Notamacropus eugenii: one gene and its partners. The protein of the gene in region 1 purifies or fractionates together with the protein of each later gene. This does not show direct contact. Links are inferred from orthologs where the notes say so. Each region holds a gene or a part of one and is shown in the gene's direction. Other genes may lie near its edges. The genes, in order: L3MBTL2, MAX, RYBP and LIN54.

What was found.
Region 2: the proteins of L3MBTL2 (region 1) and MAX purify together in Homo sapiens (affinity purification with mass spectrometry; 6 studies listed by BioGRID and IntAct, with this or other methods). This does not show direct contact. The link is inferred for Notamacropus eugenii from reciprocal best matches to the Homo sapiens genes L3MBTL2 and MAX.
Region 3: the proteins of L3MBTL2 (region 1) and RYBP purify together in Homo sapiens (affinity purification with mass spectrometry; 5 studies listed by BioGRID and IntAct, counting the BioPlex papers as one, with this or other methods). This does not show direct contact. The link is inferred for Notamacropus eugenii from reciprocal best matches to the Homo sapiens genes L3MBTL2 and YAF2.
Region 4: the proteins of L3MBTL2 (region 1) and LIN54 purify together in Homo sapiens (affinity purification with mass spectrometry; 3 studies listed by BioGRID and IntAct, counting the BioPlex papers as one, with this or other methods). This does not show direct contact. The link is inferred for Notamacropus eugenii from reciprocal best matches to the Homo sapiens genes L3MBTL2 and LIN54.

The regions. Positions count from the first base shown.
Region 1 is NC_092874.1:300,262,530-300,270,503, forward strand, and holds the start of L3MBTL2 (lethal(3)malignant brain tumor-like protein 2), read left to right. Parts: upstream 1-4,736; 5' UTR 4,737-4,903; coding exon 4,904-4,921; intron 4,922-7,437; coding exon 7,438-7,711; intron 7,712-7,974. UniProt on the Homo sapiens protein: Putative Polycomb group (PcG) protein. PcG proteins maintain the transcriptionally repressive state of genes, probably via a modification of chromatin, rendering it heritably changed in its expressibility.
Region 2 is NC_092872.1:315,998,881-316,006,571, forward strand, and holds the start of MAX (protein max), read left to right. Parts: upstream 1-4,378; 5' UTR 4,379-4,788; coding exon 4,789-4,824; intron 4,825-5,574; coding exon 5,575-5,601; intron 5,602-7,691. UniProt on the Homo sapiens protein: Transcription regulator. Forms a sequence-specific DNA-binding protein complex with MYC or MAD which recognizes the core sequence 5'-CAC[GA]TG-3'. The MYC:MAX complex is a transcriptional activator, whereas the MAD:MAX complex is a repressor.
Region 3 is NC_092874.1:450,827,460-450,834,889, forward strand, and holds the start of RYBP (RING1 and YY1-binding protein), read left to right. Parts: upstream 1-4,191; 5' UTR 4,192-4,406; coding exon 4,407-4,438; intron 4,439-4,951; coding exon 4,952-5,077; intron 5,078-7,430. UniProt on the Homo sapiens protein: Binds to MYC and inhibits MYC-mediated transactivation. Also binds to MYCN and enhances MYCN-dependent transcriptional activation. Increases calpain 2-mediated proteolysis of YY1 in vitro.
Region 4 is NC_092878.1:150,599,173-150,607,098, reverse strand, and holds the start of LIN54 (protein lin-54 homolog), read left to right. Parts: upstream 1-4,572; 5' UTR 4,573-4,589; coding exon 4,590-4,740; intron 4,741-7,104; exon of another isoform or gene 7,105-7,247; intron 7,248-7,926. UniProt on the Homo sapiens protein: Component of the DREAM complex, a multiprotein complex that can both act as a transcription activator or repressor depending on the context. In G0 phase, the complex binds to more than 800 promoters and is required for repression of E2F target genes.

The DNA.
Region 1 (7,974 bases):
TTACATGACCACCCCTCCCAAACATGCTTTAACATAGGACCCATGATCAGAAAATGGAGGGATAATTTTATGAGTCTGCTTATATGCATGAGGTTCATTAAGCAAGCGCAGTGAGGAAAAGTTTTCTCCAGGTTATTCTAGGTCATTTTTCCTGACTAGTTCAGGCTGGTTTCAGACCTGGATATTCTTATAAAAATTTCTGTGACTTTCTGAAGGCCAGTCTGTCTGCTGATTGGTTGAGTCCACCTGTAGTCTGCTAACTTTCTTATTATCTGGCTTATTCTCAGTGACTTCATCAGCTAATAACTTCTGTGGAAACTTAATTTTTTGCATCTCATATTTTCAATTAAAACAGTGAAGAAAAGGGGATGCAGAAGACCCAAGTGTGTTTTCAAAGGGTTCAATCTTAGCCTCAACAAAGAGAAGACTCAGGGAATTTCCTCTCAGCATCGCCTGGAGTTATGCCATCAACAAAAGAACCGAACAGCCATGGCTCCTGTCATGAGTGTCCCAGATCATGTTATACGACCAGGCTCCCTTTCACCCACCTATTTCCCAGACCAGGATGATAACAGATGTAGTAGCCGTGTGCCTCTCTGTTTGGGTAATAATAACAATAGCTAACGTTTATACAGTGCTTGCACAGCTAGGTGGTGCACTAGGTAGAGTGCTGAACCTGGAGGCAGGAAGACCTGAGTTCACATCCCACCTCAGACACTTACTAGCTGTGTGACCCTACGCAAGTCACTTTCCTCATCTGTAAAATGAAATAGAGAAGGAAATGGCAACCCGAAAGGGGTCACAAAGAGTAAGACATGACTGGAAAAAAAAGGCTAAAAATATACTGTTTACTATGTACTAGGCATTGTGCTAAGTCCTCTACAAATATTATCTTCCTTGATCCTCCTCACAACAACCATGGGAGGTAGGTGCTATCATTATCCCCCTTCTACAGATGAGGAACCTGAGACAGACAGAAGTGAAGTGACTTACCCAGGGTTACATAGCTAGGGAGTATCTAAGGCTGGATTTGAGCTCAGGTCTTTCTATCTCCATGCTCTGAGTCTAGCTGTTGTGCTCCAGATCAGAGTTAAGAAGCTGTGCAAAGTTGCAAAATTGTTTTTCTTCACAAATAGTTGTAGTCCTTTTATCAGCTAGTTCTGCCCATCATGCTGCATCAGTTCATACCATCCAGGATTCTCTGAAACTGTCTCTTTGTTCATTTCTTATGGTGTAACACTATTCTATTACATTCACAAACAGCAGTTCTTTTCGCCATTCCCCAATTGTCTAAGAGGCAATATGATACACCCCTGTAGAGTCTATTTTTTTCTCCTTTGTTTTCCACCTGCAGGATGAGAATATTTATTTGGTTTATGATGTTTCCCTCTTCAACATCATTCTCTCTCTTAATCTCCACCACTTTTTTTCCTCCTCCAGTTGAGATGGTTGGTGTTGAGCCTGTGTGTGTTTTCCATCCTCCTTTTTTTATTTTGGGTAAGAGTGAGGTTCATTAAACACCCACTTCCCCACCCATTCCTCTATGTTTGTATGTCTTCTCAACCCCCACAATTAAATGAAATAATAATTTCTCCCTTTTTCCTCCTTTTAGACACTAGTACAGTCCTCTTTTTACTCTCTCTCTTTTGGCAGTTAGTCCAGTTTGACTGAAACAGTGTGTTGAGGGGACCATGCCACAGTCTGAAGGTATTAGTGGAGTCAGAGGGGCAAGGCTCAATGACTTTGAACAAATTATTTTCCTTCTTTTGAACCTCTGTAAAATGAAGAGAGTTGAAAAAAATATTTATTGTGCTAAATACTGAGGATACAAAGAGAAAATTGAGACAGTTCTTGTTCCTAAACATCTTTGATTCTAACTGGAGGTAGAAAGCACAGGATAGGAGGATTCTGATGCAGGACAGAAGGCAATCTTATTAGGGTGCTGCAGCAGGGTGGATGGTAAGGCCTAGTGGTCTTCTTCATAACTGGGAGAAGAGGATCTGACCATTCAAGGACCAAATTCGATGATCCTATACCATAACCTCACTCTACATATTTAGTCTTTTCTCACACTTTTCCACTCATTTTGTCTATGAGCAGTCAGTCTGGACTATGAGATATACTGAAAATATTGTGCTTTTCTGCCTCTAGGCCTTTGGTCAAGCTAATTTTTGTGCCTAGACAGATCTTCTTCTCCTTGTTCCATTTTTGAATTCCTTTTGAATTCATCTAATTCAGATACTCAGAACTGTAAAGCAACCTGGCATGTTGAATAGGGCATTGCATTTTGAGTCAGGAAGACCTGGGTTCGAATTCCACCTTTGATACTTACTAAATGTATAATCTTGGGCAAGTGATTTAATCATTCTGGGTTTCAGTTTCCTTACCTTTAAAAAGATGTTGGAATCCATGGTTTCTATTGTCCCTTCCAACTTTAAATCTATAATGTTATGATCTACCCTTTATGGCACCCAGAACAGGGCAGGCAGCACAGGATTTACCTGGTTGCTTCTGTGTCTAGCCCAGAGGAGCTTGCCTGGAGAACAAATAGATCATTATGTATTTTCATTATTTTCATTTTCATTATCTATTTTCATTATCTATTATCATTATTTTCAAGTCAGTTCAACAAGTATATATTGAGTGCCACCGTGTACCACAGACTGTGCTAAATGCTAGGTATACAAAGAAAGATAAAAGACAGTCCCTGCCCTAAGGGAGTTCACAGTCTGTTGGGAAAGACCACATGCAAACAACTATGAATGAGCAAACAAGTTACAGATTGGATAACTTGAAGATAATCAACAGAGGGAAGGCACTAGCAATAAAGGGGGATGTGGAAAGACTTCTTGTAAAAGATGGGATTTTAGCTGAGGCCTGAAAGAAGCCAAGGAAGCCAGGTGGCAGAGATGAGGAGATAGAACATTCCAGGCATGGGGGAATAGCCAAAGAAAATACCCAGAGTCTGGAGATGCAGGTTCATGTGCAAGGAACTGCCAGGAGGCCAGTGTCATCAGATTAATGAGTGTGTATCAGGGGACCATTGGAAGGGTAGGACAGAGCTAGGTTACGAAGGGTATTGATTTTGTATTTGAGCCTGGAGGCAATAGGGAGCCAATGGAGTTTATTGAGTAGGGGATGACATGATCAGACTTGGGCTTTCGGAAAAAATACTTCAGTGGTTAAATTGAGAATGGATCGGAGTGGGGAGAGATTTGAGGCAGACAGACCCATCAGCAGCTACTACAATAGTCTAAGCATAAGATGATGAGCATCTGCATGAGGGTGGCGGCAGGGTCAGAGGAGAGAAGGGGGCATAATTCTGCAGAGGTAAAATCATCAAGACATGCTGCAGCGATGAAATCAACAAGAGGTGCTGCAGAGGTGAAATCAACAAGAGAAGCTGCAGAGGTGAAATCAACAAGAGATGCTGCAGAGGTGAAATCAACAAGAGGTGCTGCAGAGGTGAAATCAACAAGAGAAGCTGCAGAGGTGAAATCAACAAGAGATGCTGCAGAGGTGAAATCAACAAGAGAAGCTGCAGAGGTGAAATCAACAAGAGAAGCTATAGAGATGAAATCCACAGCCCTTGGAGACAACTTGGATATAGGAGGATGAGAAAATCCAGGATGATTTGGAGATTGGGAGGCTGAGGGAGAATGGTGATGCACTCGGCAATAATAGGGAAGTTAGGTAGATTATGAGAGGCAACAGGCTCAATGGGCAGAGAATAATCCTGGGAGTCAGAAAGACCTGAGTTCAAACCCTGTTTCTGTCTCACATAACCCATATATGACACTAGACAAATCTATTCACCTTATTGCCCCAGACAGCTCCGAACCACTATAAATTACAGAGAAGGTAAAGATCTGCATTGGTGGAGGGAGTTTCTTCATTGGAAGGTGAGTGAGAAGAGGAGCGAGGCCAATGGAGCAGAGGCAGCTATATTCTACATGCAAAACCACAAAAGAGCTCCTTTTCTTGGTGGTGGTGGGGGTGGGGGTGGGGATCACTGTCAGTAATCTATACACTATCCAAATGGTAGAGTGCAAACAATACTGAACTTGGAATCGGTGCGACTTGGCTCTGAACCTCTTCTCTGTATTTATTAGCTTCATTATTTTGGACAAGTCTCTTCCTCATCCTGTGCCTCACTTTCTTCCTCTGTAAAATGAGGGGGGGTTGCACTGGATGGTGTCTCAGGTCCCTTCCAGCTGTAATTTATAATTCTTTAATTTATAGGTCATCTATAATCTGTAATTCTATGAATTGATCTTGAGTCAGAGCACATGGCTTTAAATCTTGGCTCTGATTTTTCTAATAATGTTATCTTGGGTAAGTCCTTTCCCCTCCCTAGGCCTCAGTTTCTTCTTCTGCATAATGAGGAGGCTGGTCTAGACTGGCTGCTGAGATCCCTTTCAGCTCTATCTCTAGAATCCATCACTTTCCTGGACCTCCATTTCAGCTTCTGTATAATGAGGGTCGCTGGCCTAGACAGACTCTGAGATCCCTTCCAGTTGACGCCCTAGGATCCCTTCAGCTCCCTGAACCTCAGTTTCCCCCTCTGCATAATGAGGGGCTGTCCTACACCGCCTCCGAGATCTCTTTCAATCCAAAGACTGAAGGCTTTATCAGCCTATGTCCTCTCAGCTCCGTCCCGCCCCCTTCTCACTCCCGGGACTACACTCCCCACAAGGCTTAGCGGGCCTATCTAAGCACGCGCCAGGATGTGGGCGGCCCTTCCTGCTGCTCTCGGCGGCGACTGGCCTGGCGCCGCGGGACGGCTACCAATGGGCTTCGTGCGGGCGGAAGGCGCGGCGGCCATGGCGGCGGCGGGCTCGCGGTGAGGGCTTCGGCTTGGGTTCGGGCTTCGGGCTTCGAGCCTCGCGGCCTAGGCGGCCTCATGGAGCGGGGCCTCGAGGTGAGCGTGCTCTGGTCGGGGCCCGGCCCGGAGAGCCCAAGCGCCCCCTGGGGCCGGGCCGGGGTCCCCTGCGCAGGGCGGAGGAGTAGACGGGGAAGGGGAAGCTTTGTCCCTTTAACGGTGGGTAAACTGAGGCACGCGCAGTCGCAGAGGCGGGGGACCGAACACGTGCTTGCTCCCGCCGCAGAGGCGCCCGCGACCCTTAGCCGCGGTGACCTCGCAGGCCTTTTACAGAGAGGGAAACTGAGGCCCGGAGAGGCCTGGCCCGGCGTCCGGGGCCCTCGAGGGAGGCTGGCGCGCCCAGGCCTAGGGGGGCCTGACTCTTCCTTAGCAGAGGGAGCTCCCAGGGGAGCGCACTCCCTCCGCCTCCCCCACCCGCGGCCGTGGGCTTCCCCGGGGGGCCCCGGTGGGGGAGGGGGCGGGTCAGCCTGGGGGAGCCCCCCCCATACTTAGCGAAGCCCCCCGGGGCCCCCAGCTTTGGGCAGAGGCCGAGACCCAGCCAAGGTCACCCAGTCAGAGCTGGGCCTCGGATGGGCTTTCCCGGTAACCGGGCTTGGCATGCAGTAAGTGCTTAATGAATGCTGCTTGGCCCGCCCCGCCCCGCCCCCCGGGTGCCTCTTTTTGTTCCTGTCCTGGATACTAAGACCAGAGCTTCGCCGACTCCCATCGCTCCGGGCACTGGGCCGGGCTAACATCCGTCCGTTGGCCCCACGGGGTGGCGTTATTTGTATTTATTGTGCTTGTCATCATTTGTTTGACCCCACGTGGAGGGAGGGAGGGAGGCAGTCAGTGTTAAGCACCTGCTGTGTGCCCCACGCAGAAGTCAGAGGCCCTTCCCAGCCTGCCGTCCCTTGGCGGCTCTTGTCATCTCTGCAGATGTTACTGCAATGACCCTCTCTAAGAACTGGAGGGGATTGGGGGCTTCTTGGTAGTCACCTAGAAGGCTTTCCAGGTACAGTTTTAGATTCCTGCACCAGGGGTATCCTGGTTTAATTCACCCTTTTGTGCCTTAAAAAATAGATTTGCCCGAGTCACCCTCCAGCAGCGTCCTTGGTGGGTGGAAAAGAAATAAGGGTGAGCAGAACCCCCAGACATGGCAAGGCCCACAGTGGAAGTCAGGAGTAGGCTCCCAGCTTTGGTGGGGGGGTCTTTAGGGTCACTCCCTCTTCCCTTGGGCCCCTCCCTCTGTCTGCTCCTGAGCCTCTGGGCAGGCCCACTGCTCTGCACCAGTTCCTATGAGTCTTTTCCAGGTTTTCTCTGCATTTGTCGTCTATGTCATTTTCCATGTCACTCTGCATGTCCAGGCCACCTTTGGTTCCGCCACACCCCTCTTGGGCCCGCCGTGCTTTCCTGAAGAGCTGGGACTGTTTTATTATAGGAGGCACCTCTGTTTCTGTGGTCAACCTCTCACTAGTGGGAGGCCTGAGGTGGGAGTTGCAGCTTTGGTCAAATCATTTAAATCTGTCTTCCCGAACAGCTCCACCAAGACTGTATTGGGGTCCCCCGCCGACAGGGACCGGTCTCTTCCTTTGTCATCTTTGCCCATTTTATGACTCACATGTCCAATAAGAGTTACTTGAATTGGCTTTTCTCTTATGATTAGTGATTTTGGGCTTTGGGGAAGGCATCCATGTCCTTTCCCCTCCTCTCTTATTGCCCTACCCCAACTGTGGAAAGGCCCAGTTGGTCACCCCCTCACACCTGGTTTTGAGTAAGCTCAGTTTTAGACAGTGTATGAGGAAGTGTGCCCAGAGACAGACAGACAGACAGACTGACAGACATACCCACCTCTTCCTAATCCCTTGGTTCCCTTTATCATTTCTTAGACCTCTGTCACTTAGCACAGCTAAGTGTGTAGTTCTTGTGTTTGTCCTTCTTGAAGAGGATCATGACGTAACTCCTGCAGCAGACCTTGATTTGAGTGAGAGGGCTGTCCAGTTATTCTGATGAGTGTCAGGCCACTAGATCCAGATGGCTCAGGAGATGAAAGTGCACAGCCCTCCCTCACTCAAATCAAAGTCAGCTATAGTGTATTGAGTGGTAGGGACTCAGTAAATACTGGGTAACTTCACTTGTTGACTCAGCTGTTGAGTTGGGGGTGGGGAAGAAGGGGTATTAATGGTTGTGTGTGTGTTTTCACATCACCCTCCTTTCTGAAAATGTCCCCTTTCTCTCCTGCTTCCAACGTGAGCTCTCCCTTGTCAGAAAGAGTCACCTTTTTCATTGTCCATATGGGACAGTATTTCTGGGACCTTTGAGGGGGTCATTGGCGGGGAACCAGAGACCCAGTGCAGAGGCCAACCTGGGGACCTTCTCTAAGCCTCCTCCTTCCCTGCCACACCCAGGTGCTCAGCAAGCATTTATTAAGCACCTGCTCTGTGCCAGGTGGGCCCTATGTGCCAGTCCTCATGCCCAACCTGTGGAATTCCGAGGAAGACAAAAGGCAGGCCTGTCCTCAAGGAGCCCACGGTAGAACAGCAGTCTGCCGTCCTCACTTTCTGTTACTTTCCCACCAGGAGACACCCTCCTCTGAGAGAATGGAAGATGAAGAAGAGGAAGATGAGGAGGAGGAGGAGGAAGAAGAGGAGGAATTGGACCTCTTTGGGGACTACGACACCTTCCAGGGCTACACCAGCAGCCTGGGCAGCGAGAGCAGCTCCTACCTGGAAGAGTCCAGTGACAACGAGAATGAGCTGAATGACCGAGAAGCCGGGGAGCTCCCCACATCTCCTCTGCTGATGCCCAGCCCCATCACCCCTCGCTCCCAAGATGGCAGCGGTTCTGAGCCAGGTGCTTTCCAGGGCCCCTGAGGTCATGGGCCAGGCCTGTGGAAATATCCCAGCCTGGTACTCCCTGGACAAGTGGTCTCTGCTCTCAACTCCCTGTGACAGGACGCACTTAGTGCACCCTGAGGGGCTGCAGAGGAGGTTGAGCTGGGCTGAACTGGAATCTCTTACTATTCGTGATTTTGAGCTTTTTTATTATGGTGATTGATCTGTCTAGTCCAGAAGCCTCCGGCTCCTGCTAAAACCGGACTTCAGGCCTTATTCCTT
Region 2 (7,691 bases), on another chromosome or scaffold:
GACAGACAGGGTGTGGGGGGGAAGGCCTACTGATAATGATGCTCAAAAACAAGAAATGAAAAAAGGGTCTCACACATGGGAAAAAATATCATACATAGAGGGAGGTGTAGACTAGCAAAACAGCTTTAAAATTAACACACTGAATTTGTTATTTGCAATGGAGATTTATGGTTTTACACACAATTTTCTTCATTTATTTTTCTTTGCATATGGAAATGCTTATGTTAATTGGAGTATGGCAAGTATAGAATAACAAAAAAAATTTTAATTTAAAATTTTCATATACTTCAAATGAACTGGACAAAACAGAAGCCAGTTCCATATACAATCCTCTTTTCTGTTCTCTGTATATTGAAATATTTATGTTTATTGATGATTTATAAGTTCATAATAAATATTTTTCATTAAAAATGAAGGTGTTGGAGAAAAGACAATGTTGCATACCTCCTTCCTCAAAGCAGAGAGGAAGGTGACTATTAAATTAGGATATTTTATTTATTATCAGGCACGACTTTCTTACTGGATGTTTTTACCTGTTTTTCTTTATCAAAAAGGTAGGGTTCCATCTGGAGGAGAGGAAGGAAAGTGACTATCATGTAAAGATAAAAAGCATCAATTAAAAAAAATTAACAAACTTCCCAAAGAAGAACCTCCTTAATTATGGCAGAAAGGTGGAGGAACAATTGGGATAACACAAATGTTTCTGTTTAATTGGGTTGTTTGGGGGTTGTTTTGCAATGTTGGGTTTAATCTAGAGGGATGAGTAAAAAAAGATTGTTATAAAGTTATTAATAAAAGATTATAAAGGTATCAATAAAGCAGTTTAAATGAACTGATTTCACACCTTTTGTTGGTATTTTTGTCACAAAACAAATTATTTTTAACATAAGAGCCAAATAAGTAACTTTAAGGACTCCAACTGAGGTTGAGAATAAACTAGGTCTTGAAGCTTTCTCATGCTCTCCACACTGACCAAAAAATTCTCAGGCACGTATGCCAAAAAACAGTCTTCACAGAAAAGCATTAGCAGAGATCTGCACCACTATCAAGCACCCTGGTATAGTATCACTGTGTTAAGGAAATAGCCTCTTGGGCTTCTGGAGGATATATTACTCATCTACCACATGAATGTTAATTCCACATCAACCAGGTGAACCTTAAGTCATATAAGCAAGCTCTAACTGGGAGGAAACTGAGTACTTCAGGAGACAACATAATCTCTATATTCCCACCTTGGCCTTCTAGGAGAGGATAACTTGTCAGTGAGGTCTTTGAAACACCACAGGTTTAAAACAAACAAGGAGCCCTTGTCAATCATAAAACTAAATATGACATCAGTGATTTATCACTTGGGCATGTTAGAGTAGAAATGTCTAGTTCAAAAGGCAGATATAATTATAAAGTACAGATATTATCCTGATGAATAATGGTTTGCTGGTCCAAAAAAAAAAAAAAAAACCATAACGAAGCATAAGTACACAACAAAATATCTATTTAATCTGGGAGCCTAGTATGAACCGGCAGTATAGTGGAGCAGAGAGCAAGATTTGAAGTCAGAGAAGCTGTAGGCTCAAATTCTGCCTCTGACACTTACTAGTTGTGAGACTTCAGATAAGTCACTTTACCTAAGATTTAGTTTCCTCCTCTGTAAATTGGAGGAAATTATTTGCATTATTTACTTCTGTGACTAAGGATCAAATGAAATGAGGTAGGAGATGCATTCTTCATACTTTCAAGTGTTATTTAAATATTACTTATCAATTTGATAGATAACACTCACCATTCACAGTCTACTTACTTCAAAATTTCAGGGATTTGTGATTTCAGCCATCTCACTATTTCTCCTACTTTTGAAGATCAAATTCCTCTATAACTTAGGTGATTTAGCAGGTTCCTGTGGCCAAAAAAATCAATACTAGGTCAACCATTTGGTTGCAAGCTTCTCCAAAGCTCCAAGCTAGTCTGCTTTTTATACAGTAAGTATATCATGTCTTTAATCAATCCTGTAGCTGAAACATTTCCAACTTGACAAGACCTTCTAGATCTTGTACTAGGTTGGCATAACTTTGAGAATCCAGTGCCACTTCCACACCAGAATGAAACACACAAGTGGGGCTTTGATGGAGGTTCATGTTACACCAGATGATAAAGCCAGGTTAGTCTGAACTGATATTCCTATTCACTCTTTCCATAAATGTTGAAGGATTTACTTGTTTTTACAGGGGAGGGTCTGGACCTGTCATTTCATTACAGAAGGTTCTAACACTACTAGTGTTAAAAAAAAAAAAAAACCTTAAAAATATATCTAGTTCTGATTAATTAGGTTGCCATCCCTGAAATAATTTTATGATCTCATGCTTTGGGATCTTTGCTCTTCTAGCCTTTCATTTAATGATGAGATCAAATACCGTTGAACAGTTTGGAGAAAGGTGAGATTTAGACACTTTAAAAAAACTGAGAAGTCAGTTATAAAATGGAGAAAACAATCACTTGGGAGAAAGTGCTGAGTCAAGTTGCTGTCTCCATGGATAGTGGTAGATCAATCATATATTTTAAAGCATTTAATGTATTTGGGAAGCTACTAGGAGGCTTAGTGTATGGCTGTGTGACTCTGGCTTAGACATAAACGTTCCTGGTCATATTTAATCATAAGAGTGTAAATGTTAGCTATTATTATTAAAATAGCTCCATTTGGGGGAAAGTTTGGTAGAACCATGTGAGCCTGAAGGACTGTTTAGCTTTTGTATATGTTAATATTTAATAAGGTGACACAGTGGATAGAGTGCCACGCCTGGAGTCAGGAAGACATCTTCCTGAGTTCAAATTTGGCCACAGACACTTAGCTTATTAGCTGTGTGACCCTGGGCAAGTCACTTAACCCTGATTGCCTCAGCTCCTCATCTGTAAAATGAGCTAGGGAAGGAAATGGCTAATCAATCCAGTATCTTTGTCAAGAAAACCCCAAATGATGTCACGAAGTCAGATATGACTGAAAAACGAATGAATATGCACAAGATTTAATAAAGTATTTGTTAAATTAAATGTATCAAACACATTGCCATGTCACAGCAGCAAAGGCACTGAATTTGGAATCACAGATTCTGGATTCAGATGAATCCTCTGGAATGAAAAGATGGCAGATCACGGTACTATATATATTCAGAGGTGGAAGAGACTTCAGATGTTACTTAGTTCAATCCCTCCATTTTTCATTTAAGGAATCATACAGGTAAGGTTTGAAAGTAATTTTCAAAACCACATCATTGGACTCCATAGCTCGACTCCTGCCACTACACCATGGTCCTTCAAGCTACTTTCTCACTTTACAAATAATTTTATAAGTAAAATGTATTAATTTAGTAATTTAATTTTTAAAATTTAAATTATTTAAATTTAAATTATTATTTAACCCTATTCAGGGTTCCAATTCTGACCCCTGAAAGACACCTATTAGGTTCTAGGGGCTGCTGGGGATGCTAAGACAAAAATTAAACAGTCCTTCCCTGAACTCAAGGAGTTTACACACTACTGGAGAGATACAACAGGTACTTAAGCAATATAAAGCGTGTATAAAATACTGGGTTGGGGGAGAGAGGGAGTTCAAGAAAGGCCTTGGCATCAGGGTCTTTCCAAATGACCCAGTATCAGTTTCCACTTCTCACCTTGGGCCAAGCTTTATTTGCCGCTTTCCTCCCTTTAGGTGTCCTAAAAATTAAAAGGTGGTCATTTCCTTTCAGTGTATTTTAAAACTGGACGGATTTCACGGAGACTGTAACATTCTGGGACCTCCTGGGACACACCGGAAACAGTAAAGACGCACACAGCCTCAGGCTCCCAGGACCAGCGATTCTGGGTCTGAGACAGAAGGCTCCCACTTCCGGGCTGCAGTTCTCACCTACAATGGTTAACGCCTCTGCCCAGGCTCTAAATCCTAGGGACAAACAGGCTATGGCTAGCCGGGTTCTCCCTTCCGTAGAGTTCCTCCCTGCAGCCCCAACCCAGGGTGACACCTAGATGACTGCAACACGTGGCCGGTGAGTCAGGGGAGAAGGCCAATTATAAAACCACAGAGATGTGAGATAATTAGGACGCCCTTGCGCCGCGCTGCGTGCGTGAGAGGTTTCCCCACCCTCTCCCGCAGGCCTACTGCCCAGCAAAGCGTGCGTGCCCAGACACCCCACTCCACTCCCGGAGCTCCAGCAGCCTCCACGTGTCCTCTCCTTACCCAGCAGCCTCTACGGCTGCCCTGGGAGAAAAACCTCCTGACAACTCGCTCCACACCCCCACCACGCCGAGTACTACAATTCCCAGAAGGCTTCACACTCCCCTTTCTCCCTCCCTCCTCCGCGGGACACGCAGGCGCTCTTGTTCTCATCAACAAGCCGGAGAGGCTCTGAGTGTTGATCGTGCCTAACGGGATTTGTAGTTCTTCCTGGACCTTCGGTCCTTGGGCGGCTGAAGAGGGGTGGACTCCAAGTCTCAGCGGCCCTTGCGCGGCGGAGACCGGTCACGTGGGCGGGGTGGGCCGGGCGTGCGTGCCGCCGTTGATCCGGTGCTGCAGTGAGGAGGTGGTTCTAGCCTTGTTGTGTGTGAGTGTGTGTGTGTATGTGTGTGTGTGTGAATGTGTGTGTGAATGTGTGTGTGAGTGAGGGAGTGAGTGAGGGAGTGAGTGAGCGAGCGAGCCAGCGTGTACGGCCCGGCTTGTTGTTGTCCCTGACTTCCCCCTCCCCTCCACCCCTCCCCCTTTCCCAGCCGCCGCTGCAGTGGCCGCTCCCTGGGCCGTAGGAAATGAGCGATAACGATGACATCGAGGTGGAGAGCGACGTGAGTCCCGGGGTTTCTTCCTTCCCGTGTGTGTCTGTTTGGGGGTCGGGGCCAGAGGCCAGAGACGGAACCGGACGGGGGTGCGGCGTGCAGAGGCCGGGCCGCTTCCTCCTCGCCCTTCCCCTCCGTAGACGGGTCCGCCGTCGCCGTCTCGGTCCGGGCACTTTCCTCACTCGCCCGGCCACCACGGCCTCTGGAGTCCGGATGGGGAGGAGTGGCCTTGGGGAATCCTCCCTTCCCCCCAACTCTTCCCTCATCTCACCCCCGCGGGGGGGGCAGCCTCACCAGGGCCAGTCTACCCCCCTCCCTGATCCCCCCGCCCGGTGCCGGGATGGGGGTACACTCCGCAGCCCATTGTCCAGATCCAGGGAACGGGGACTGTGCTCAGGCCCCTTCCTCCGACCCCCCCCCACCCGTTCAAGATCCCTCTTCCTTTATCTATTGGGGGAGGGGGGGAGTTAGGGTGCCCAGAAGGCCCTTGGCATGGGCTGACGAACGGGGGCATTCAGGACCCCTTCCCCCCAGCGCATCCCCTTTGGCTGGGCTGGATCCCGGAAGAAAGGGCGGCGCACAAGACACACGCCCCCCACCCCCAGCCCAGCACGGGATCCCCGGCTGGGGGGAAGGGAGGAGGGTCGGGCTCACTCCCCATCCCCTGCTTCCTTCACCGCCGGCATTTTCTTTCTTATTTTTGAATGTGAAGCGTAAAAATAACTTCTATATTTTCTATTTTTCTCTCTCTTATTCCAGGAAGAGCAACCGAGGTTTCAATCTGCGGTACGTCTCCTTCTCTCCATTTCATTTTCATTTCCGTTCAGTTCTAATCCTTTTCGGGGTCAGAGAGAGTTCTGTTACTTTCAATGTTATGATGGTAAACTGCACTGTGAAATGCTGGAGGTGAGGTGGGGACCTACGTCGGGGGTTCTAGATGGGGAGAAGGGTTGCAAACTTCATCATTCTAGATTGTCAGGTGTTAGGTTCCATTGAGGCTGAGTGAGTGGGAGGAGCTTTGTCCATAGGAAAGGATCTCATTCTTGAGGGATCAAATCCAAGGGATCTGTAGAACCACTGTTTGGATTCAGGAAATGGAAGAAGCTCTGAATTCAGTTGTTGTCAGTATTTGAAGGCAAAGCAGCCTAGAGAATATTTGGAGACAAATAGCTTTTAAACCATTGTTACTTTGGAGGCACATGTGATTATCAGAAATGAAGAGCCATATGAATACTGTATTCTTTAAAGGGCTTAGCAGTATTACATCAGAATGTAATGCAGAAATTGAAGCCACAAGTTGCACATACCGGAACAGTAGCAGAATGTCACTGCTCTAGACCCATGGGTTGAAGTAGGTTTTGAAACTAAAGAGGAAAAGCTTTGTAGTTGGTGTGGAAGAAAGGCATGCCAAGACAGAAGAAAATGTGTTAGATCATTTCTTTGGTTTTCTGTATTAATGTATTTGATACTTGCTTCCGTGGATGTAGATATGTAGTTTAAATTGATAGAAACCTGGAAGTGTTCAGTGAATTTGAAGGGGGTGGGGAGAAGAGACTTTTTGTGGGGCACAAGAGAAAAGGAGATTAGAGTGGGAAAGGGAAATGAAGCACAACAGAGTCCCTGATAGTTTGCATTTGGAAGCAGTAAGGAATAATAATTATTTTAAAAAGAGAAACTTGCTGAGTTAAGACTTGATTTAACAGAACAAACCGGGATTCAGAATCTTTTCCAGAGATCTGGGGCTTCAGAAGAATTTAAACAATATTAAGAGAAATCTCAGGATGTAATTATTTTATTAGACCTAAAAACTGTTTCTGATTGTCATTTGTTACAACAAAAATTCATTTTAGTGGACTGAAAGATTCCTTATTTTGGATTTTTTGTTGTAAATCTTCTTAACAGTATATCCACTTTAACATTGTACTTTTTTAAGCAAAATTTTAAAAAATATTTCACTTTTCTCCTGAATTCCCTTGATGCGATTTGAAAATGGCCCCCAAATGAAGGATGGTAAGAAGGGCAAAAGAGCCCTTGAAGAACGTCTTTTCCAGACTCTTACTTAGAACAACTAGTCATGGGCTTTCAGCAAAAAAACAGTTTTCTTTGTTGAGAGAAAGTTGCTTTTTCAAGCCCTTTTTCATTTTAAAATCATTGATGTGTTGATTTTAAATGGACATGAAATGATTAAAATGTACTTCTCTGCACCTTAACATCTAATCTTTGGTTAAGTGTTAAGATATCTAGAGTTTATCCCTTTGATTTTTTTTTTTTTTTGGCTTCTTTTTAATTTGGCTTGCAGAGACTTTCAGACATCTTGCACAAGGTAATCACAACAGTATTACAAGCATGTTTTTCAGTATCACAAACAACTATTAGGACCTGGTAGAGGAATAAGAATTCCCCTTCCTATCATGTGTTCCAAAACTCAAGGCCTGGGCATTTTTTGTTAAGCTGAAAGAAATTCCCATTATAAAGCAACCATTTTTAGGCCTTGACTTTTGAAGGAAAATCAAGCTGGAATAACAGGAAAAAATTTGATCATATTGTGAGAGTTTTAAAAGTTACTTAGAGAATATTAAGTTTTACAGGTGTGAAAATCCTGTTTCATGAGACCTTAGAAACTGACATGAAGTAGGAAATAAAACTAACTGTAAGAGAAAGTGAAACTGAATTTAATAATTCTCTGGGAGCCATGCGAAAGATAAAGACGTTGATTGGTAGGGAAAAAAAATAAGCTTGACTAGAGAAAACAGTCTGAGTAACCCAGAAGAATGACTTGAAGAGTATTTCATCAGTATTTCCCATAACAAAAAATTGCCATGTTGCAAAAATCCCAAGTGATGTGATTTTCCTTTTACTTTAATTCCACGAATTTT
Region 3 (7,430 bases), about 150 Mb from region 1:
TATATCAGGAGTGCTTTAGCACAGCATCTGGTGAATTATAAATGCTTGTTAACTGGCTGATTGATCTTTATATATTTAAGGATTGCAAAACACATGGCATGTATTATCTCCTCTGAGACTCACAAGAGTCTTGTGAAGGAGATGATACAAATGTTATTAATGCCATCTCACAGCTGAGGAAACTGAGGTTCATGCCTAGTACATTGCACACTGGAACCCAGGTCTCTCCTGATTCCATGTTCAGTGTTCCTTCTGGTGTGATGAAATTTGTACTTCTGAAACTCTCTATGATCATCCCATCAGTTACAGCAGGATGATGGAGGGAACACACAGTGGAAATCACAGATCCTTGAGGTATTGAAGTCTAGGTCTGCTGACTGTTTGCACAGTTTATATAGTAGCTCACCTCAAAAAAGCTGCTAAATGTCAAAGTCAGAGAGTAGCTGAAGTAGCACCAAGAATTCAGCCGAAATTTCCTCCAGTTAATTTGCTCATCTGAATCATCTCAAGATATCCCTAAGTGAAATGAGCCCAAGTCTCCCCCGTTACTTAGTTGCTCTGAGACATAGTTCCCCTTTTTAAGCCCCCAGAGAACTATTTGGTACAAAATAAATATTGTCTTACAAACTAGAATTGAATTCTTAACTTTTTCACATCCATTCTATCACTGAGACCCTAACCACACCAGAGCATTTCAGAATGTTCTCTTATTTAGGATTGATCAGTTTCCCAGCACAAATGCCCAGACCCCTCATCCCAAAATTATTTAAACTTTTATAATGCATCTATATCTTTACATCTAAAATATTAATTCCAATTAGTGTAAAAATCCTTGAACAGGGCCCTGTTTATTTTTTAAATGTCATTTTCTTGTCAATGGCTGATATCATTTTTAACGTGGGTGGGGTATGGGGCCAGTCTGTGGTGTTCAGGTTAAGATTCTCAAGCTTTTACCTGTTGGTAATACCTTTGTTAGTTAATCCAAGGTTTAAAGTCCAAGACCCAGGATATTCAGAATTTTATTCCTTTGTAGAGGAGTGTTTTCAAATGTAAAGTTGAGAAGCAGTTTTTGCAATGTGATAGTTGGTCTTCTAGTTCTTTCCTCTGTCTCCCTTGCTCCTGCTTAGGCAGGGCTGTTCCTGGGCAGAACTTGGAGGGCTTGGGCTCCTGGCATATTGCTCAAGCTGCCTGGACCATCTTTCCTTTCCGTTTTTTTTTTTTTTAAGGGTGTTTTTCCTTTGTCTTGCCTTTGGTGTGAGCTATGTTCTACACAACAATGGTTGCAAGTTGTCCCTTTGGAGTAGAATTTGGTGAACTCTATCCCCCTTCCTAAACTTGAGCTCAATAAATAAAAGGGGTCACTCAATAGATCACTCACTCTCCCTGGCTCATTTTAGGGTTCCTAAGACCGGACAAGCCTCCAAAGCTATAGCGATCTGCTCCCAAACGAAACAGGTGCCTATTACCATGACAGCAAGCACCTCCCCCAGCCCAGTGAAACTAAAAACTAAAAACTACACCATCATTTTATATTCTAGCCTATAGGTTTGGATTTAATTCAACAGACTTTTACTGAACTCCTACTATGTGTAAGCCACAGTACTAGGTCATAGTGATAGAAAGACAAGGAAAAAAAAACCAAGACTGACAAGGTATTTGTGTACCAAAAGTTTCTCAAGGCTAAGTTTAACTAGTATCTACCATTGAAATAAAGGTAAATAAATTATCCATCAACAAGGCCAAGTGCAGCAACGAGTTAACTACTGACCAGGGACTTAAAAAAAAGTCTACCATTACTGAGACACTATAGTTAAAATGAGGTAGTTCTTGTGTGGTGTGGGGACTCTCTGTGAAAACTTCAGGACAATAACATCTTTCCAGGACTGTTCTGGACACAAAATGTTCACAGCACCACTCCCCACCCCCTCCTCCCCACCTTCTATCTGTTTTCCCCTCCTCCTCCTAATCCCTTTGTCCCTCTCTCACTTTTTTTTCTTCTTCTTTGGCATCCTTGGGCAGGAAGGGTCACAACCCTGGTCGTTCTCTGAACTAAAGAGGTTGCTGACCCTTGCTCTAAACAGGGACGGTATTTCTCCGGCTGGGTGCAGGGTGTGCCTAGTTAGAGTACATCATGTGCTGAATAAGCTTATCTTTGACACACTCCCTCCCGCCTCCTTTTATTTCTTCCTTTACCAGCCCCCCTACTTCCTCCTCCCCTACAGCTCCTGCTTCAGATGGATGGATGGGAAGGCTTCCCTCTTGTCCTGATTGGGTTCTCCTTCTACTGAATACCAATTATAATAATAACACCCTGTGCATAAAGGGTCTAATCTCTAAGGAACTCCAGAGGGCACCCAGCAGGCCCGTCCTGGCTTCCCAGTCTTCCAAATCTTTACTTTTCTGGAAGAAAAGTATTGCCTAAAGAAATGCATCACTTAATCTCTTGGCTCCCCTGGAGGAAGGGTATTACCAGGAAGGTAAAGGGTAGTTATATTTCTTTAACACAATTATAATTCTATTTATAATGGATTCTAAACTCCCCCCCCCCCCCCATTAAGGTAGTAGCATCCTTACTTAAATTCAAGGGGATTGGGACAAGCACGGTTTACGTATTAGTGGGTTACAGCATAGGACCTAGAGTGGGAGGGGACTGCCAGATGCCAATCTAATTGTACAGGGCAAGCTTTATGTACGTGATCTTATGCGAACCCCACAATCACCCTGGGTATTATTATCTCCATTTTACAGTCCGGAGGTTGTGCTCAAGGTCACCCAGCTGCACTGGGATTCAAACTCAGGGCCTTGGCCTCCAGATCCTGCGTTCCTTCCATGGCACCCCCATATCAGAGGCAGAACCTGGATCCGAATCTTCCCGACCCCACGGATTCCAGCCAGAAATTTCCCCCTGCCCCTTTACAAAATGATTTGGCTCCAACTGCCCTTAAGGAGAAGCTTTCCCAGAAAACATAAAAGCATCGAAGGGGCGCAGCACAGCACCAGACGGACCCCTGCCCATCGCCCACCCACCAGGATGGTGCAGAAAGTGCCCGGGGAGGGCAGAGCGGGGGATTCCACCAGGCTGAAGTTAGGGGAAGGGAGCGCTGGAGGCCGGCGTGTCTGCCCCGCTCCCCTCCAAACGAGGGCACCCTCGTCCGCCCGGCTGGGCGCAGCCTCGCCTCCCTCCTGCCCGCGGGCGTGCATCCCCTCCGGCCCCGCGGCGGCCGCCGGCCAGGGTGGCCAGCCCGGGCCGCTCCTCCGCCAGGTGCGGGGCCAGGGGCGCACACGCACGGCCCGGCGGGCATGCCCTGCGCTCTGGGGGCAGCGCGGCGTCCACACCCGGGTGGGGGTCCGACCCAGCGTCCCAGGGCCCCCACGCGTGTGCGTGCTCGGACTCGGCGGGGGGTCCCTGACAGCCCACGCCTCAGGAGCCATGCCATGCCGACTCCTTTCTCTCCCTCCCTCCGTCCGTCCTCTCCCCAAGTCTGGCGGAGTCTCGGCTTGCTCCTGCCGGGGCGCTCGAAGCCCCGGCTACGTCCTCTTCCCCACCGCGTCCCCTTGGGCGCCCTGGCTTACACGAGAGTAGGAGGGGGGCCTGGGGTGCACGCGGGGCCGGGAATGCTGAGCTGGGGGGGCGGGGGACACACGCAGACGTCCCCTACACAGATGTACACACAGCTCTGCGTCCGGAGACGCACAGACACGTGCACGGACACATGCACAGACAAACAGACACACACACACACACACACACACACACACACACACACACACACACGGCACCGCAGGAGGGCCAGGCGCCGGTGCAAGCGCACACAACACACACACACACAGCACAGAGGCGGGCTGAACCCTAAGAAACACACACGCACACGCATGCACACACAAGCAAAGGGGCCTGGGCATGCATGCAGACATGCATGCATGCACGCACGCACCCACGAGCCCCCCCCACCACCGCGCACACGTCCGCAGCTCTCTCCCCCCGCCCGCTTCTCCCCCTTCCCTCCGCTCCCCCTCCCCCTCCGTTCGGAGCCTCCCCCTCCCCTCGTCGGAGGAGCCGCGCGCCGCCATTGGTCCGCCGGGCTGGTGACGCGCGGCGCTCGACCCCGCCCCCAGTCAGTCACTCGGCGGAGGCGGCGCTGGCGGGGACTAGTCTCGTCCGGAGACTGGCAGCGGCGGCGGCGGCAGCAGCAGCGGCAGCGGCAGCGGCAGCGGCAGCAGTAGCAGCGGCGGCGGCCGGAGCTCGAGCCCGGGCGGCTTCGGGGGGGGGAGGCGAGGAGGACGGCGGCGGCGAGGACGGCGCAGGCGGCGGTGGCCGCGGCGGAGACGCGGCGGCGGGCGGCGTTTCGTTTCTCCTCAGCGCGGCCCCTGTTGTGCGGAGGGGGGGGCGGGGGGAGAGCCCATCCATGACCATGGGCGACAAGAAGAGCCCGACCAGGTACCTGCTCCCGCCGCTCGGGGCCGGGGCCGGGGGGAGGGGCGGGGGCGCGAGCCGCAGCGGGAGGAGGAGGCGCCCACGACTAGGCCCCGCCGCCGAGCCCGGGCCGTGGCGGCGGCGGCGCGCGCGGTGGGGGGGGCCCGGAGGAGGAGGCGCCGCTAAGATGGACGTCGGCCCGGGGCGGGCGGCGGGAGGCGGTGTCTGCCGGCCTGCCTGCCCGCCCGCCCGCTTGCCTGCGGGGCCGAGCGCCGCCTCCTCCTCGGCCGCAGCCATGGCGGCTCCTCTTCCCCGACCCTCCCAGACAAAGGGAACGGCTTCCCCAGGTGGGGAGGGAGCGAGGCCCGAGGAGGACGCCCGGGAGGGGGTCCCCGCCCTTGTCGGGCCTGGGCCACGCGCCACGAGTGGGCCGGGGAGGAACTTCGGGGGGGGGGCCGCTCCCGTGAATTGGGATTTCTCACCCGCGCGTGTGTTTGTTGTTCTCCCCACCCCTCCCCCTCCCCCCACTCCGCGAAGGCCAAAAAGACAAGCGAAACCTGCGGCCGACGAGGGATTTTGGGATTGTAGCGTGTGCACCTTCAGGAACAGCGCGGAAGCCTTTAAATGCAGCATCTGTGACGTGAGGAAAGGCACCTCCACCAGGTACCCCGCGGCCCCCCGCCCCCGACACACGCACACACACAACGCACACGCACACGCACGCACTTGTTGATCGGTCGTGCCTTTTACCTGTGCCTGACTCATGTTGCTGTCGAGAGCGTGGGGCGCACGCTCGGAGAGTCTGCTTTTTTCGGTTTCCTGTGAACAGAATTTGGACCAATATTGTCATAATTCAGAGTTTCCAATTCTTTTTTTTTTTTATCCCATTTCATAAATTGAGAACCAGCGCAGGGGCCTGAGCCCTTGACTTCACAGACGGAAGCACTTCTTTTCTCCTACACGTCTGTGGGGAGTGAAACGGAATTTTCTTTTTGTCACGGGCGGAACGGTTGGGTGTGTGCCAAGCCCAGGGAGGCTTTACGGGAGGATCCCCGAGCACCCCGCTTGTCGTCCCGTAAAAGCCGCAGCACTTGGAAGGGCTGCGGCCGGAGAGGCAGCTGAATTGGGGCTCTTTAAAGGCTCGGCGTCGGGGCTTGTAAATTGCAACATGGTGAAACTGATCAGGCTGTAAATACTGTCGTGCTGGCTTTGTGCCAGGAGTAGCAGCTCGGAAAGTTCTTGGTGGTGGCATACCCAGTCCTGAACGGTGCCGACCCGGGCTCTGGCGAGCTGGGCTCTCCTAGGTGCAGGTTTTGTGTGTGTGAGAGAAAATTGGGAGAAACTCCTGTGGTTGCTTCGGAGTTTTTTGTTTCCTTCCCTGTTGTCTTTGAACAGAATTTGGTGCAGTGTTATCATAATTTGGAGTTTGAGTTCAAACTGTTGTGGTCCTCATTTGATGCCCAGATGTTTGTGTATATTCTGGGTTGGTACTTGGAGTGGATTGCCAAAAAGTGGGTCGTTTTACCAGGTGTCTGTTTTGTTTGGGTGGTAGTCCAGTGTGACTGTAGTATTTCAAATGCATAGCATTCGGTAACTTGCATGGCTTCATGATTAAAGACTCTTCTTTATGTAGTGCCTGTAATGTTGTGCTTTGATTTTTATACTTGAGGTTAAACATAAGTAGTTGGGCATACTTTTAAGCTTATAACTTAAGACTTAGTTTAGATTTAAGTAGTATACTTGAATAAATAAATCACCTTGAAAAAAGAAAGAAAAGTGGACCACTGAAATTGGTTATTTTAAGAGCTGATTTTCCCTAGTTTTTGGTGGTGTTCATCATAACTTTAGGAATATATTATTCTAGATTGAATTTGCTTTGAGGCGGAGGAATATTTTTTTTCAGTTTCTTAAATGTAGATTTCTGTCAAATGCCATTAAATTTTGTACGTTATTATTATAAGCAATAGCATGTGGATTATTTCTTTACATGTAAAAACCTTTATTGTGGTTTTACTTTGAGGGTTACTGTAAATGATGGGTGTAGTACAACGCAATGACTGGGAAACTCTTGAACTTTTTAAAAAATAGATTATTATTGTATTGAAACTTAAACCAATTAGTTTACATCTGATTTATTGGTGAATGAAAATATCTCGTAATCAAGCACATTTTATTGTATTTTATGTTTGGATAAAATTTGAATGTCAGCTTTTTATCCCCCAAAGTCACAAATCATGACAGTACAAATTCTGGTTATCTGTATTTTTTGCCAACCTTGTGTGTACTTAAAATGCTTGTTGAATTGAGTAATTTAATGCTCGGTCTGTTCAGACAGTAAATCTTTAAGGGATCATAATGAAGAATTTGAGTTTTGTAGTGTGAACTTTAGAATAATGTCAAATGTTTAGTAGCATTTGTGTCTACACAAATTTAATTTGATAGCATACTATATAGTGTTGGTATTTTTATATAATTTCAATAATAAACCATTTGAGTTAATCCGAAGTCTCTTTCAAGTCATGGCATTATTATGTGATTTGTGATGTAACTACCCTGGTTCTAGTCAGGCTTATTGCCTGCCCACCCAGTGGTGGTGTTTTCAGGTCAGAATTATTCCTTGTTTTTGAGGTTAGAGCTACTCTAGAAATTATAGTTAATTGGAATGCAGATAGTATTTTGATAGTATTGTAAAGGCTATGTGGAAGGGGCACGTTTTACTGGATTTCAGTCACCAAGTGCAGCGTTTTAATGCTTGCTTATTTTCTTGGTGATGGTGGTGGTGGTTGTGTTTGTTCCTTTTCTACCTTCTTTCCTTGTTATTTTTAGGGACTTAGGATGATGTACGAGCACCACAGTTGGTAGTTGATGTACTATTTTCCTTGTTTGTTGCTGTTGCCTGAATGGTTGAAAAAGAAATGTGTAGAGCACTCCATTTAAAATCCTCATAATGTCTATTGGTTTTGTTAGTTACGTAGGTTTTATAGAAATTGGTTGAATTTTATTCTGCATTTTACAT
Region 4 (7,926 bases), on another chromosome or scaffold:
TTTACCAGTGCCATGGGCCTGGATGTTGTGCTGTGAATTGAAGTATTCCTAGCCTGAGAACCTCCAACATAACTCCATGGCAGTAGGGGTTGAAGGGATTCCTGATTCTTTGTTTAAATTGTCTGGCCAATATTGAGAAGTAAGATAGGAAGGGGACAAAAAGGAATAGGAGGGAACAGAAGGGAATAAGGATTTCTATAGCAGGGCAGCGAGGTGGTGCAGTGGTTAGAGCACTGACCTACAGTCAGGAGGATGGGAGTTCAAATCTGACCTTATACACTTACTAGCTGTGTGACCCTGGGCAAGTCGCTTAGACCCCAATTGACTCCAAAACAGCAACAAAAACAAAAAATTAAGGATTTATATAGTATACACTAGTGCTAGTTTGAATTTGAATTGTCTTAGGAAGATTCTGTGGCAGGATAAGGTACCAGACACTGAGGTCCTTACTCGAGCTAAACTTCCATGCACTCAAACTATGCTTCAGAGAGCACAATTCTGAAGGGCTGGCCACGTGGTTTGAATGCAAAACATATGCTTGCCAGAAAGCATATTTTATGGAGAACTCACACAGGACAAGCATTCACGTGGTGGTCAGAAGAAGCAATAGGAGGACACTCTCAAGGTCTCTCGTAAGAACTTTGGAATTGATAGTGTGAATGGGAGACACTGGCACAGGACCGCCCAGCATGGCATGCCCGCATGAGAAAGGGTGCTGTGCTCTATGAGCAAAGCAGAACTGAGGCAGCACAAAGGAAATGTAGGATGCGCAAATTTAGAGAATCCATCCCAAATGTTCACACGGACTATCTGTGCTCGGCCTGTGGCAGAGCATTCTGAGCTCATATTAGCCTGATCAGCCACAGTCAGACACATGGAAACTTGACTCCACGGAGATGTCATCTTGGTTCTCCTTGAAAACAAAGGACAACAACCAACCAACTATTGCTAGGCACTTTTGTAATTAATATCTCATTTTATCTTCATAACAACCCTATGAGGTAGGTGCTATCATGATCATCATTTTGCACTTGAGTAAACTGAGGCAAAGAGAGGTTAAATGACTTGTCCAGTAAATGTCTGAAGCCAAATCTGTACTCGAGGTCTTCCTAACTCCAGCCGAGTGCCAGCAGCCTCTAAGTCATCCTGTAAGGCTCACCCTCCGTCATTCAAGAAATTCTGGGCTTCAGGGCATTTTTGGTCCCATTGTAATACCTAAGCACATCGGACAATCTCCTTTATTAATGAGGAGAAGAGAGTTTTCAAGTAGTTGCCTGGTGAAGAAATGGTGTGGAGCTCCCTCCTAAATTCACCTGGCGCTGATGTGATTAGATTTCTGTTGTAAGGTCAAGGGTTTTCTTTCTTTTGCTCTTCCTTCCTTCCTTTCCTTCTCTTTCTTCTTTCCTTCTTTTTCTCCCCTTTTCTTCTTTCCTCCCTCCCTCCCTTCTTTCCTTCCTTCCATTCTTGTTAGGGGTACTCCAGAGTGAAGAGGCCTGAGGGAAGTTAATTCTACATGAGATGGCAGGTGCAGAATGGTGGCAAAGTTGGCCGGAGGCTCTTGATCCAGCCTTCCAAACTTAGTTTGTCATCTCCCCATGAAACCTTTTCTGAATCCTCACTCCATTTCTTACTTATCTCTCCTCAGAGTACCTATGACACTGACAATCTGTAACATATGCTTTAATACTGCTTTTATAAAAGAAATTTTTACTGAAGTATCAGCGACATTTTTCCTAGCGTTCTTTCTCCTCCCTTTTCTAGAGAGCCATTTCATAAACCAAATATTTTTAAAGAGAAAAAAATCAACAAAATTGATCAATACATTGAAAAAGACTGATGATATGTGGAATATCTGCTTTTAATTTCATCACTTCTATTCTCTGATTTCCATTTTATCAGTTTCTCTAATTTTCAATATATTTTTGTTGGTTTTCAGTTTTTGAGAATTTCATACTCTAGTCACTAATTCTCCTTTTATATTTTGTTAATATATGGTTTTTGAGAAATAATTTTTCCACCTCTTGCCAAGGAGTGGCTGTGAGCATCTTCTTATAAACCTTTTGAGAAGCAATGATTGTTCTTTGTTCAACTTGTTCAGCCTTTTCCCGGTTGATGGGCATTGACTTAGCTTCCAATTTAGAAAAGTACCCTAAAAAAATGCTGCCAATAAATACTTTGGTGGATACAGAATCTTTCTTCTTATAAATGACCTCCTTGCCTTGTGCTATATGCCTAATAGTAGAATCTCTGGGTCAAAGACAATGAACATAATTCCAAATTACATGATTCCAAATTGCTTTCCAAAATGGTTGTACTGAATCACAGACTTCACCAACAATACCTTAAAGACCCTATCTTCCCTAAACGCCTCCTCTGTTAACTGTTCCCATCTTTTGTCATCTTTGTCATCTTATAGATGGTAAACTGAGACCTCAGGCTTGTTTTCCTTTTTTCTTATTGTTAATCATTTGGAATATTCTTTCATATGGTCATTTGTAGTTTGCGGTTCTTCTTTTGAGAATTGTTTTTCCGTATACTTTGATCAGTTATGTAATTGATGCTAGTTGGCAAAGTAGATAGAACGCTGGCCCTGGAATCAGAAGGGTCGGAGTTCAAATCCAGTCTCTGACACTTACTAGCTGTGTGATCTTAGACAAATCACTTGACTCCACCCTGTTTGCTTTAGTTTCCTCATCTGTAAAATGAGCTGAAGAAGGAAATGGCAAAGATACCAAAGTGGGGTCATGGAGGATCAGACACTATGGAAACAACTCAATAACAATATGAACAAAAGTCATTCCCTACTTGAGGGTCATATCAGCAAAACGCTGCATAACAGCAACATTCTATGTATAAAGAAAATACAACTGCTTTTCTGTTTTTATTACACTAGCATGATGTAATATACAATAATACAATATAATGCAACACAATATATTTTATACCGTTTTGTTTTGTTATTCATGTGAGCATATCTCGTCTTCTCAAAGTAGATAATACGCTGCTTTAAGGTGAACATCATGTTTTATATTTCTTCTGCAGTCTGTTCAGTGCCTAGTGTGGTACAAGGTATTCAGTAACAAATGTCAGTGGATTGAATAATTAATCTCTGCTGTGAATTCATTTCTCCATTTATTAGACTAGGTTAAAACTATCTTCTATCACAGATCTATACCTTTTTTCCCCACCTCCAGTCTTTCCCCTTTTCAATCTATCTTCCCCATAGCTGACATATTTACAGTCCTAAAACACTGTCAGTCCCTTACCTGGAATGCATTCCCTCTTCACCTCCAGCCCTTAGAATCCGTTCCTTCTTTCAAAGTTTAACCCAAGCCCCAGTTTGTTCTCAAGACCTACGCTGAACCCCTCCCCGCCCAGTAGTTTTCACCCTCCTCACTGGAAATTATATATAGTTTGTTTTATATATGTGTGTGTATATACATATATATATATATATGAAAGGGTAGTCATGTTTTCGTTTTTGTATCCCCAGTCCTTAGCCTGGCACATAATAGGTACTTATTAAATGAATGAAAATTTATTCAAATTCACACTATTTGGAAGTGTGAAATGGATATTAATTGGTTCCAGCACTAGGGAAATATGCAGCGCAAACTCGAAATAATAAGAAGCCTTCTAGGGATCCGTTATTCACACTCTTCAGAACCTAGCTATATGTAAAAATGAAAAGCATATATATTGGAGACAAAGAAATTCCCTAAAAATAACTGTCACCGATATGATCTTGGGCAGATCAGTTAACTTCTCTATACCTCAGTTTCCTGAAGTGTAAAACGGAGGCAGCCACATGGGGGCCGTGTTCCTGGCGCCAGACCTGGGTTTGAGCTGCCTCAGACACTCACTCGCTGTGTGGTCCTGGGCCAGTCATTTAAGGGTTCTCGGTCTCAGTTTCCTCTGCTGATAAAATGGGTTGCTGGGAGGACCAAGGGATACACAAGCGTCTACGTAAAGCCCCTTACAAACTTTAAAGCGCTGTTATTGTTGCTGCGGTTGGGTTCGTCCTTCGTTTTCAGAGAAGACCAGGACATCAGAGAAATGATGACGTGACTTGCACTGGACTTTGTTTGGAGGGAGGGAGGCTGTGCAGGAGCTATTATTGTTAATACGATGAGCGGGGGCAGATCGGGTCGGCGAGCCCGCGGCGGGCCTCATCGGAGACCCCAGGTGCCTCGGGGCTTTCGGGCAGGTGGATTCTTTTCTCCTCCCGTCCAATCAGTTTAGCGACCAGAACATAACGCTACGAAGCTGTTCTTACTGTTAGCCATCAGTCCCACACTCTCCTCGGTCAATTGCACGGTGGTTGGGCGGGGGAAGGACCACAGCCGCGGAAGACTTCCTTAAAAGGGAGTGTGTGGGGGGGAGCAGGAATGGTCTCTTCCAACTGCGATCTTCCCCCTCCTCTCTCACTCCTATGGAACATTCCATCCCAAAGCTCGAGCGCACGCTCCTAGTCACGTGGTGACCTACGCCCAGCGTATTGACGACTCTACGGCCGGGTTGCCAGGGGAGGGAAACGGCGACGAGGGAGGGAGGGGGAGCGGTGGGGGGAGGGCTCAGCCTATTATGGGATGCGGCGGTGGAATGGCGCTGGGCGCGTGATTTTGAACAAACCTGGGTCTGTGTTTCACAGGCGCCGCCGCCGCCGCCGCCGCGGCTGCCGGGAGCGGAGGGAACGCGGGGCGAGGAGGAGGCGGCGGCGCCGCCGGCTGTGGTGGGGGGGTGAGTGTCAGCCCCCGGGACGGGGGGGGGGGGAGGCGGCGAGGGAGGGGGGACGGAGGAGGGGGAGACCCCGCGACTGCCGGGGATGGGGGGGTTGTTGGCGCGCGGAAGGGGGGGGTGAGCTGTCAGTGGAGGGCCGGCGCCAGCGCGGCTGCGCGGTGTGCCGGGCCGGGCCGGGCGGGGCCGGGCAGCGACGGGCAGCGACGGGCAGCGGCGCGGCGCCCGCGCGGGGGAGGGGGCCCTGCAGCCCGCCCTGCGCTCCTGCCCCTTTGTGTGCCATGGCTCCCCTCCCTCCGCCGGGACCTCCCCTTCGCCTCCGAGTAAAGTTTGGGGAAAGAAACGCTCCTTCCCTGCTGGGGGGTCTCCCCCCAAAGCAGAGAGCTGCCCCGCGCCCCAAGCCCGCGAGCGTGCCAATCCTGCCCGGCTGGTGTCAGAAAAAAGGGAGTGACAGCTGGGGGCAGCCCCTCCCTGCCCCGCCCAAACCCTTCCCTTCCCCCTAACCCCGCCGGAACTTCGGGAGGGTGGGGGAATGGCAGACCTGCTCATACCATAAGTAATAAAATTGATAGTAAAGTTCACCTTGGTGTGGCGCTTACTGTGGGGGAGGCACTGTGCTGAGCGCTGTACAGCTTGGACACGGACACGGTCACCTGTGGGTGTTTGTGTGTGTATGTATGTATGTATGCATATATACACAGATAAAATAACAGTGCTTGTTATTTTATAACACAGCACAGTGTGCTGTGTGCCAGCCACCGCGCTGGGGACATGCAGCTTATACTATGTGCCAGGCACCGTGCTAAGCGCTTTACAGTTGTTATTTTTATATACACATAATGGCTAACAAACATACGTATATATGGGTGTATGTGTATACACCATATATAAAACAGTTAACATAGGGCCTACTGTGTGCCAGGCACTATGCTAAGTGCTTTACAGCTAATGCACAGACACATGTACATATATGTGTGTATGTATACTTATTCATATATACACAGACAGAAAATAGCTAACAGGGCCTACTATGTAGCCAGCATTGTGTTAGGTATCTTACAATTTATATACATACGCATAAAATAGCTAACATAGGGCCTACTACGTGCCAGGCACTGTGCTAAGCGCTTTACAGTTTATACAAACACACACATAGACATATGTATGTATGTAGATACAGCTAACATTTGTAATGTTTACTATGTGCCAGGCCCTGTGCCAAAGGCTTAGCAATCTGACGTGTATATGTATACACACATATTCATGGCTATATATGCTCATGCATGTCTATGTCTATATGCACTTACATACTTTATATGTGAAGCACCTGCCATATGCCAGGCACTAGCGATCCAAACATTTCTACTGAATGTTGTAATTCAACATAATTTTCTCTTTGGTTGTTGATTATCTCCCACTTTTCCCCTGTAGATTTTGGTTGAACATAGTTTTCATGTTGTCTCCTTAGTGAGACTGGGAGTTCCTTGAAGGTAAGGATTGTTTTTTCCCTTTGGGTTCCCTGCCGTTAGCAAAATGCCTGGCTCGTAGTAGGCACTTTTATCGGTGCCTGTTGACTGGTTTGCAGCTAGAGGTTGAAAAAAAGAACGCTTCTTTGTATTTGAGTCGATCTTCGGACTGCATTTAGTAAGAGAGGCTAATTAGGGAAACTGACATAATCCGGAGGTTTTGTGTATGTTACTGTATCGGTGGCAAATGTGTATTTTAAGTTAGAATTTGATACTATGGAAATGATTGTCAATTTCAGCTCAGGGTAGATTTCCCTTTTTTAAATCAACAATGTTAATAGCTTTTGGATCAGATGGCGATTAGGTTTACATTTCTTGAGGTCCGAAAGCGACCCGGAAGGTTGAACAGCAGGTCTGTTTTATGGGCAGGAAGGAGTAAGTCAAAGGAAGTGGACTGGGGACTGATCGTCTGGAACGTGTAGAAAGTATGCATTTTAAAGATGGGATTTTGGTGACCCCGTCTGTCTGAACCCGCCTTGGCCAAGGTCCCGCCCTCTCTAGGCTACCCCAGGAGCTGGTCCTTTCCAGCCGGGGGAAGGGGGAATGTATGCCCTGAAGGTGTTAGCGAGCTGAGGTGGTCATGGAGAAACGCGCACAGCTCCCGCTGGCCTTTCCCCTTGGAAACTTGAAGTTTGGGTCGGGGGAATCCCTCCCGGCCTCGCGCGGCTTCCTACCCCAGCCCGCGGCTGCCGGCCGGCGCTCGAGGGCTCGGCCCGCGGCGCGTTTGAAGGTTGGCGCGGCGCGGGGGCGTGTCCCGGGCGGGGGAGGGGCGCCGCAGAGCCGCCGCGGGCCCGCGCCCGCCGTGCCGCCGCGCCGCCGCGCTTCTGATGACGACGTGAAAATGGCGGATCTTTCGAAATCCAATCCCGGCCCCTGACATCCCGGCGGCGGCGGCGGCAGCGGCGACAGCGGAGGAGGAGCCCGGCTGCGCCGCGAGCTGCCGGCCTGGGACACCGGAGAGCCCCCGCCCTGAGCCGCCCGGAGGTGAGGGCGATGCGCCGCCGCTGCTGGGCGGGCAGGAGGGGGAGGGGAGCGGAGCGGAAGGGACCGGGCTGGAGGCCCCGGGCCGGGCGGGCAGAAGGGCTGGGGGCCCGGCTTCCGAGTCGTGCGGCCCGGGTGCCGGAGCAGCCGCGGGGCCGGAACCCCGCGGTCAGCCGCGTGTGTGGTGCCGGGGGCGAGGGGGGGTTGTGGTTGTTGTCGTTGTTGTTGGCCCGGGAGCGGGACGTCAAGTGCGCGGCGGGGGGTGGGAGGCGGGGTGACCGGGCTCCTCGGACCGGGGGTTTGAGGAGGTGACATTGGTCGTGCGCTGGGGCGACGGACGCGTCTGGTGCGCAGACCCCGGGCCGCCTCCCCCGTGTAGCCGGAGGAGCAGCTGCCCCGAGGTCTGTTGGGTCTTGGCAGGTCAGCGATCCAGGCTGGCCTTGTCTAGAGGAGCCGTACCAGTCCGGGTTCTCCAGGTAACTGTCCAGGGGCCCTTTACAAGGGTGCCCCACTTTGCCCCTTTGAGTGGACTTCTGAAAAACTGTAGTGGTCCCCAAGAGCCTACTCTATTGCTCTCTCTTTCCTGAAATTCGTTTACTGCGGCTCCAGAGCGGTCCATTTAGTCAGTAATTATACCTGGTCGAAACGAATGTGTTCCTGTAGCTGTGACTTCAGTGACTTC